Linked DNA regions of Neurospora crassa OR74A. The protein of the gene in region 1 interacts with the protein of each later gene in a pairwise test. Links are inferred from orthologs where the notes say so. Each region holds a gene or a part of one and is shown on either strand. Other genes may lie near its edges.

The links.
Region 2: the proteins of NCU11371 (region 1) and NCU06923 interact in a two-hybrid assay, tested with the Saccharomyces cerevisiae proteins (2 studies listed by BioGRID). The link is inferred for Neurospora crassa OR74A from reciprocal best matches to the Saccharomyces cerevisiae genes ZNG1 and MAP1.

Annotation. Positions count from the first base shown.
Region 1 is NC_026504.1:2,285,220-2,288,788, reverse strand, and holds NCU11371 (COBW domain-containing protein 1), read right to left. Parts: upstream 2,327-3,569; 5' UTR 2,181-2,326; coding exon 2,081-2,180; intron 2,024-2,080; coding exon 1,940-2,023; intron 1,876-1,939; coding exon 1,864-1,875; intron 1,808-1,863; coding exon 1,711-1,807; intron 1,631-1,710; coding exon 1,126-1,630; intron 1,040-1,125; coding exon 695-1,039; 3' UTR 503-694; downstream 1-502. Other genes in the region: mob1-2 (Mob1 family protein), read left to right, coding at 2,918-3,133, 3,207-3,569. UniProt on the Saccharomyces cerevisiae protein: Zinc chaperone that directly transfers zinc cofactor to target metalloproteins, thereby activating them.
Region 2 is NC_026507.1:776,472-780,635, forward strand, and holds NCU06923 (methionine aminopeptidase 1), read right to left. Parts: upstream 2,776-4,164; 5' UTR 2,396-2,775; coding exon 2,252-2,395; intron 2,122-2,251; coding exon 2,091-2,121; intron 2,029-2,090; coding exon 1,171-2,028; intron 1,102-1,170; coding exon 1,001-1,101; 3' UTR 510-1,000; downstream 1-509. Other genes in the region: NCU06924 (kynurenine 3-monooxygenase), read left to right, coding at 3,272-3,386, 3,483-3,700, 3,765-4,164. UniProt on the Saccharomyces cerevisiae protein: Cotranslationally removes the N-terminal methionine from nascent proteins. The N-terminal methionine is often cleaved when the second residue in the primary sequence is small and uncharged (Met-Ala-, Cys, Gly, Pro, Ser, Thr, or Val).

The sequences.
Region 1 (3,569 bases):
TTGTTTTCCGGTTGTCGCAATTAGCAAGTTGTGCCGTCGATTAAAAGGTGACGAGTGGTAGCGGTGGTGTCGTGGTGCGCTGCCAGAGTGAATGGATGTTTGCAGGTGAATGCCCGGTCGCGCTTTGGAAACGAGCGGGAGCTGCACGCCAGGCGGGCGGCACGCACTGGCTGCGCAGGTGCAGTGAGTGGTCCTTATAACCAGTACCTCCATCTGGGACGGGATGTGGAGACGCTGCAGTGTACCTAGGTACCTCTAGGTACATACCAGTTTGGTGTTACTACAGGTAGGTCACTTCGTTATGGTATGCACACTGGCAGGCCCGGGTTGACCGTTGACAACTACGGAAACCTAAAGGCTGGAAAGACAATACCGATCAAGGACCGCTGATCCGGCGGACTGAAAGCCCTCTTTCATGGATTTGGAGACTTCAAGATCAAGGTGCAGGTGACGGAAACTTGAGGATATGTGGTCCGTGCTTCCAGGCCATCGACGTCCCCCTATTCTCAAACATTCGAAGACCCTCCAAAGGAACTTCTCTCCACGGTCAGCATCAAGAGCAGGATGCACACTGCTTCCTAAGTCACAGCGTATAAACAGTATCAAGACTTCCATTACCGGTCTGACACGTATGAGGCAATGTTCGTCAGGATTCCGTTCTGATTTCCTACATCTATAATATGGTGCCTGACGGCTAGGTGCTTTTGGCAAGATCAACAGTTTTCTGGAGGCTTGTTGGGAAGTCGAAATCGACTAGATGACGCCCGATGAGCACAAGTTTACCCGCAACTTGACCCTGACTCTTGTCTGGGCTATCAAAAATTTCAAAGATTTCCCTTACTCCCTGAACCATCTTCTCGCTGCCGTCCTCGAGCACCAACCGACCCTTCAATCGATGAATTTCGAAAGCTGGCCTGTCAGTAGCGTTCTCGTGTCCAGGAAGAATGTTCTCCCAAAGAATTGACCTCAGCCAAGCATCCAGTTTTTCGACTTGTGCTGATGTCAGGACCGGTAGAGGAATAGATAATGTTGATATCGTCTAAACTCAGGTTAGTTGGTCATATGAAATCAAGAAATGTCCAGGTCCTGCTAGCCATTCACGAGAGATGAAAGGGAGTCTCTGACCTTGTCGAGATGGCTGTGGCCCAGACTTGGCTTGTCCAATTCCTCCACGCGGTCATAAGCGTGCAGGTCGAGCAAGAATCCTTCCAATTCTGGAACCACACTCTGTTTGGTTATGTGGATTTTGGCGAGCCCGTTGATGGACGTGATTCTGTCCTGGACGGCCTGCAGCTCGTCCTCGCTGACCAGGTCTGACTTGTTGATTACGATGACATCAGCATGTGAAATCTGGACATGAGCGGTCGTCATGACTGGCCCATGCCCGTGTTCATCGGTCTCTTCGTGTCCCTCAACCTTGCCAGCTGGATCATCCAAGCTCCGCAGAATGTTTTTGGCGTCCACCAACGTCACAATGCCGTCGAGGTAGATGGTGCTTCCCAAGCCATCATCCATCCAGAAGAGGGGTGCAAGATTCCCTGGGTCTGCGAGCCCGGTGGTTTCGAGCAAGATGTAGTCGAACTTTCCTTTCTTTTCCATTAGGGACTCGATGGCATTCACTCCGGTGTCTCTGAGACGATCATATGTTGTTGGTCAGTGTCAGTGCACTAGAGCTGATGGGGACAAAGTGCTCAATCATCGGTAACTCACTTCACCGAACAGCAGATGCAGCCATTGCCAACTTCCATCCATTCCTCGACTGACTCGCCATCCTTGTTTACGGTGAGGGACTTTTCAATGTCCAGAGCTAGATTGAGCGTCAGCAGAGATATGCTGAGGGGTTGCAGCAAGAGGATGACAAACAGTCTCCGAACTCTACACAACTCATCGTCAGCTAACTATCCCAATGCAAGGCGAGGCCCGGGATGTTCAGCCATACCGTTCATGATGACGGCAATTTTCTTTCCATGCTGGGCAGTCAATATATAGTTCAAGAGCGTGGTCTTGCCCGCTCCAAGGTAGCCTGAGGTTATAATCAGCGCGAAGTCGACCACAATGAGATTGGTAGTAAAATGCATACCTGTTACTATGGTAATGGGAACCTTGACTGGCTTCTCCTCCTCGAGTATGATCTCGTTGGTCTCTATGAGATCCGGGGGAGCATCGTCGTCGTAGTCCATATTGAATTGAGGTCCTCTGAGCGGAGGTTCTTGGTCGTGGAATTACACAAAACGTTGTCGAGAAGTGTAGTGTTTGAATCACCTTACCCATAGGTTTCTCGCAGGGACCAGTGGTACGTATTTATACCTCTACCTACGCAGTACACTATGTAATGTTTGTCAGGCTGCCGGGGAGAACCGATGCGATTGTTGGCCCACGCCCTTTCGGTTACCAGAGGCATGACGCACATCTGTTACAGATACCGTATTTTACAGTCAGACAGCACGAGGAGCAATTGGGAGCTTGGGCACCTCCTTGATCTTAGCGCCAGGTACAGGGTGAGTTCCCCGTATTCCCGCCTTCCACTGGCGTGCCTGTAGGCTCGAAGCTCCAGCTCAGCACAGGGGCAGCAGGGGCAGTTTCCCAAGGAATCCCATTGACGGCACCGCCGTGGACCCCAGATCCCGTTCGTCTAGACTGTCAATCTACCTCCACGACCTCATCCAACTTCCTTTCATCCACGCAACCCAGCCCGTCTCGATTCATCTGTTCCACCGGCATATCGATCCGAGCAGAATCATCTACCATTCATACCGCTACCTAGGAAGTCGAGCCGAACTTGCGGGCGAATAGTACAAACAAGGGAATCGTTACGATAGACACAGCTGGGCATTGCTTGCGCGCGGTTGTAGCTGTCCAGCTTCGCGTATCAACTTCACCCATATCCAACATCGCGACCAAATAACGAAGCACCATCATGTCGCTTCCCCCGAGCTCTCCTCGACTCCCAAGCCCGCCGCCTGCCCCCGAGATCCAGATTGGTCCCACATCGCCAGCCATGGGCCCGATCGCCAACCGCCAGGCGCAGCAATACGAGATGCCTACGATAGACCTGCTGTCTCATCGTCGCATCCATCCGGGCACCAAGGCCGCCGACATGGCCGCCGGCCCTCCGTTGGTTCCTCTGCACCAGGTTCGTTCGCTGCCTGAAAAGTCATTGATCTCTTCAAGAACAAGGCTGACATGTTCTGTCTTGCGACGCGCAGCTTGATTCGGCCTTCCAACTCCAGGAGCACTTAGCAGCCCTCCATTGGCACCATACGGCCGGTAACACAACTCCCATCACAAGGGAGACAGCCAAGATTCTCGCAACGCCCCCTGCTCATATCGACAAGACGGTATGGCTGTATGAGCTGTGCCGCTTTTTGATCACACAATGCAACAACCTTATTGTTGGTTTCCTGTTCGATGAGCCGCCCTGCAGCGCTGCCACCTGCCCCGAGATGCGTGCAAGCGAGTGGCAGTTTTTATGTGCCGTGCATGATGCACCCAAGAGCTGCTGCGCGATCGACTATTGCTGTCACACTCTTGATTGGGCGGCCAACACCGTGACCAATCCCAAGTACTTC
Region 2 (4,164 bases), on another chromosome or scaffold:
TAGATAGAGGTGGGATGATAAGACTTGGGGAAAAGCCGTCTTGTTGATCTTTGGATTTGGTGTTTTCTGGGAAAGAAAAAAAAAGGGCGGTCGCAAACTGGCGAAATCGGGCAGTGGTGGGAAGACTCACTCGGTTCTTGCGTGGAGACAGCTGGAGGTTCAGTTGGTAGGTCTGGAGGAGGAGGGTTGTTGGGGGCAAGGCAGATAGCTAGGTGGTGCTGGTGCTGGTGCTGGTGCCTCGGGGCTTCCTCGATGATGAAGGTGCCCCCCCCCTCCCCCCGGCCTCCTTCCACTCTTTTTCGCCGTGAACTGCCAGCCCGAGCCCACTTGCCAAGTCCGCCCCTGGAGCCTGTTGGGCGGCTAGGTTGGCCCAAGCTTCTTTCTGCAAAGCTCCACTATCCTGTAAGCCCAGCCCGGCCGAGGTGGGGCAAAGCGGCATAGAGACGATCCCCGGTCTCGGCCTCGCCGACTTGATGATCCGCTACATCACTTTTCAGAAGCATGATTCTCCCAAGTCCTCATGGCTCCAGTTGACTACCGAAGTGATGAGTATTAGCCTCAAATATGGTGAAACATTAGGCATTGTCTATACTCTATCCAAGCATTTACAATCTCAAACAGCTTTTGGGGAAGACAGAGAGAGATAGAGAGCTCCGGGCCCGGTTCTCCACAACCCGCCGAGTCTACCGCCGAGTCCGCCTTGAAGTGAGGATCCCAAATCCCGCTCCTCTCGATTAAGAATCTTCCAGAATATCCGTCCAGACACTTGTTCTTTGCGCGAACCTTATATATGTAACGTGCCTCTAGCTCTGCGATTGTGAGATCATTATGTTGATAGATCTGACCATGGCTTTGGGTTTCCCGTTTAAATGTCTCCGGGTATCAACTCAGGCATTGAACGCTACGGCACAAGTCTATACCACAACATTATCCCCTTTAAACGCCTTTTTTTTTTGTTCCAATAACGATGCACACCTTACTTTTTAGCGTCCGACCAAACTCAAGCAGCGGCGGTAGGCATGGGTACCGGGCCGCCAGGAGAGTCAGCCGTGCGCGCCGTCAAAATCTCAACACCGGTTTCGGTGACAAGGAGGGTGTGCTCTGTCAAGCAGGGTTAGTTGAACATTCCAGCACTCAGCCACCGCCTACTGAATCATGAACAGCACTTACCAAACTGAGCGGTCCTCTTGCCATCAATGGTGGTGGAGGTCCAGTTGTCGGGCCAGGTAACATCGCGGTACTTGCCCAGCGCAATCATGGGTTCGATAGTGAAGGTCATTCCAGGCTTGCACTCGCCGACGGCCCTGTTCTTAGCGTAGTGGGGGATGTTGGGCGGGCAGTGGAAGGTCTTGTTGATACCGTGGCCGACATAGGTGCGGATAACGCTGCAGCCGCGGCTCTTGGCGTGCGCCTCGATCACGTTGCCAAAGTCGCGGAACAGGGTGCCGGGCTTGACCAGCTTGATGGCCTCCTCCAAGCACTCGCGGGCCGTCTCAACGACGCGCACCGAGTCGGCGTCGGCCTTGGCCTTGTCGCCGACGTAGTATGTCTCGTTCAGATCGCCGTGGTAGCCCTCGTGGTAGAGGGTGACGTCGAGGTTGAGGATGTCGCCGTCGAGGAGGACGCGCTTGTCGGGGATGCCGTGGCAGATGACCTCGTTGAGCGATGTGCAGACCGACTTGGGGAAGAAGTTGTAGTTCAATGGCGAGGGGTACGAGTTGCGCTCAATGCAGGCCTCGTGTACGATCTTGTCGAGATCATCGGTGGTGATGCCGGGGCGGATGGCGGCAGCGGCGATGTCGAGAACCTCACGGGCGAGGCGGCACACCTTGCGCATGCCTTCGCGACCCTTCTCGTCTAGCTGCTCAATCTTGTTGGACCTTGTACGGCCGCCGCCGGGAATACCGCTCTCGGCATAGTCGGGATGGGGGATCGACTTGGGGACAACGCGCTTTGGCGAAAGAGGGTAGACGGGGCGGAGAGGGCCGGTGTAGCTGAAGGTAGGGAAAGGGTTGTAGGTTTCGGGGCCTGGAGCAGAATTTTAGAATATGCGCTCTGGCGAAGGAGGAGGGGGAAGCGGGTTGATTTACTGGCAAGCTTGTGAAGCTCCTTGTGGGTGTTCTATTGGGCACCCAAAGGGTCAGCTATCAAGGTTCGCATGCAAGTGCGAGTCTAAGTAAGGTACTACGGGATCTAGTCGAGGAAATCCATAGGTATGTGGGATGAGGGAACCAAAGAAGATGCGCCGTACCCAGTTTTTCTTGAAGCAGTCCTGGGAGCAGAAGAAGCTACCCTTGATACCCAGGCTCAAGCACTTGGGGCATTGGAGGGAACCGGCATCGTTTTCGCAATCAGCGCCGAGGCACTTCTTCTTCGCGGGGGGTTGTTCGGTCATGGTGGTGGTGCGCTCGAATTAGACTGTGGTGTCACTGTCTGTGGTTATCGAAAGGCTTTAAAGAGGGGCCGATAAGTTAGCTTGACGATCGCGGGTTGACAGCGAGGATGTCGAAAAGAGTTCGTTGTTCTTTGACGGCCAGATGCCGAGGGGAAGCAACAGCTGAGACAAGTTTGCGTAGAAGTTGGTCTAGAGGCACAGGGTCTAAAGAGCAAATAAAAGTAAGTACCTGGTGACCTTGTGTTGGGTATCCTAGTTGGGAGAATTCGTTGTTCTTGAAAGGGCGCGAGACAAAGTGAAGAAGCGACAACGAAACGGAAGGCGACAGGTCTGGATGCCGGGCCCTTGGCGTGGACGGACGAATAATATTTTTGGCGGCGCTGTCCGCTGCGCCCTTCCTCCCAAAAGTCGTCCCACGCGCATTCCATTTTCAGTGGCGGGCAGCGGCGGGCTGGGCGGCTCTGCCGGGGTCCGGGATGGGTGGAGCTCTTGTTGGATACTGTGGTTGGGAGCAAAAGTTTAACCCCCATGTCAGGTACCTTGCACGGACCACTACAGCGAAAGCGCCGTGAGCACTGTGTGTTCATCGACCTGACTAGGAGGTTTAACTTACCCATCTCACCATAGTAGACCCAGCAAGGGACCAGAATGCTTACCCAATCGATCCACCTTTCTAAGGACGCTAAACCGTTGATGGTGTTAGTGCACCAGCAAGGCGTCGGTAGAAGTGGATCGCCTCGCACGGACGAATATCGAACTGCATGTCTCGTGGGATCTTAGTGTGAATCGTCTGATGTAATCACCCAGATATTTGATTTCCACCTGTAACTTGTTCCGGCAAAGCTGGGAAATCCTCACAATCACTCAATTTCGAAAATGGAGGAGAGAAAGCAAAAGGTCGTCGTTGTCGGCGCTGGCCCGGTCGGGTCATTGGCTGCTCTTTATGCGGCCAACCGTGGTCACGATGTTGAGATTTATGAACTGCGCGGTGGTGAGTCTTGTCTTTTTTACGTTGTTGACTTTACAATACATCATGAGTCAAGATCCAAGATGTTCAAGATGTCACTGCTAACTAACAAACAATAAGACCTACGCGACCCCTCAACAACACCACTCAACTTTACCAGATCCATCAACTTGGCCCTCTCAGAACGCGGCCTCAATGCTATGCGCCATGCCAACCAGCCAAGACTCATCGATTATGTCAAAGGGGTGACCATCCCCATGAGAGGCCGCATGATCCACGGCAAGCGACCAGATGGAAAGCTGTATGAGGAGGCTCAAGACTACGACATCCATGGACGGGTAAGACCCCTCCCCTCGACCCCTTTGCCTTTCTACAGAGCAGGTGTGTTGATGAATAGATCAGAGCATTCTCGCCATCGACCGTGGCGACCTGAACAAGCGCCTCCTCGACATGCTCGAAGAGATGCCCAACGTCACCTTCTTCTTCAACCACAAGCTCACCGGCGCCGATTTCAAGCGGAACAAGGCCTGGTTCGAAAACAAAGACGAGAGCACCTCCAACCCACGAGACCGAGCCCGCGAAATCGAGGTCGACTTCGACTTTATGATTGGTGCCGATGGCGCCCACTCCGCGGTCCGCTACCACCTGATGAAGTTCTCCCGCATGGACTACCAGCAAGAATACATCGACACACTCTGGTGCGAGTTCCAGATCGCCCCATCGTCATCATCAGCCAAGTCCAAGTTCAGGATATCCCCCAACCACCTACACATCTGGCCCGGCAAGGAATTCATGTTCATCG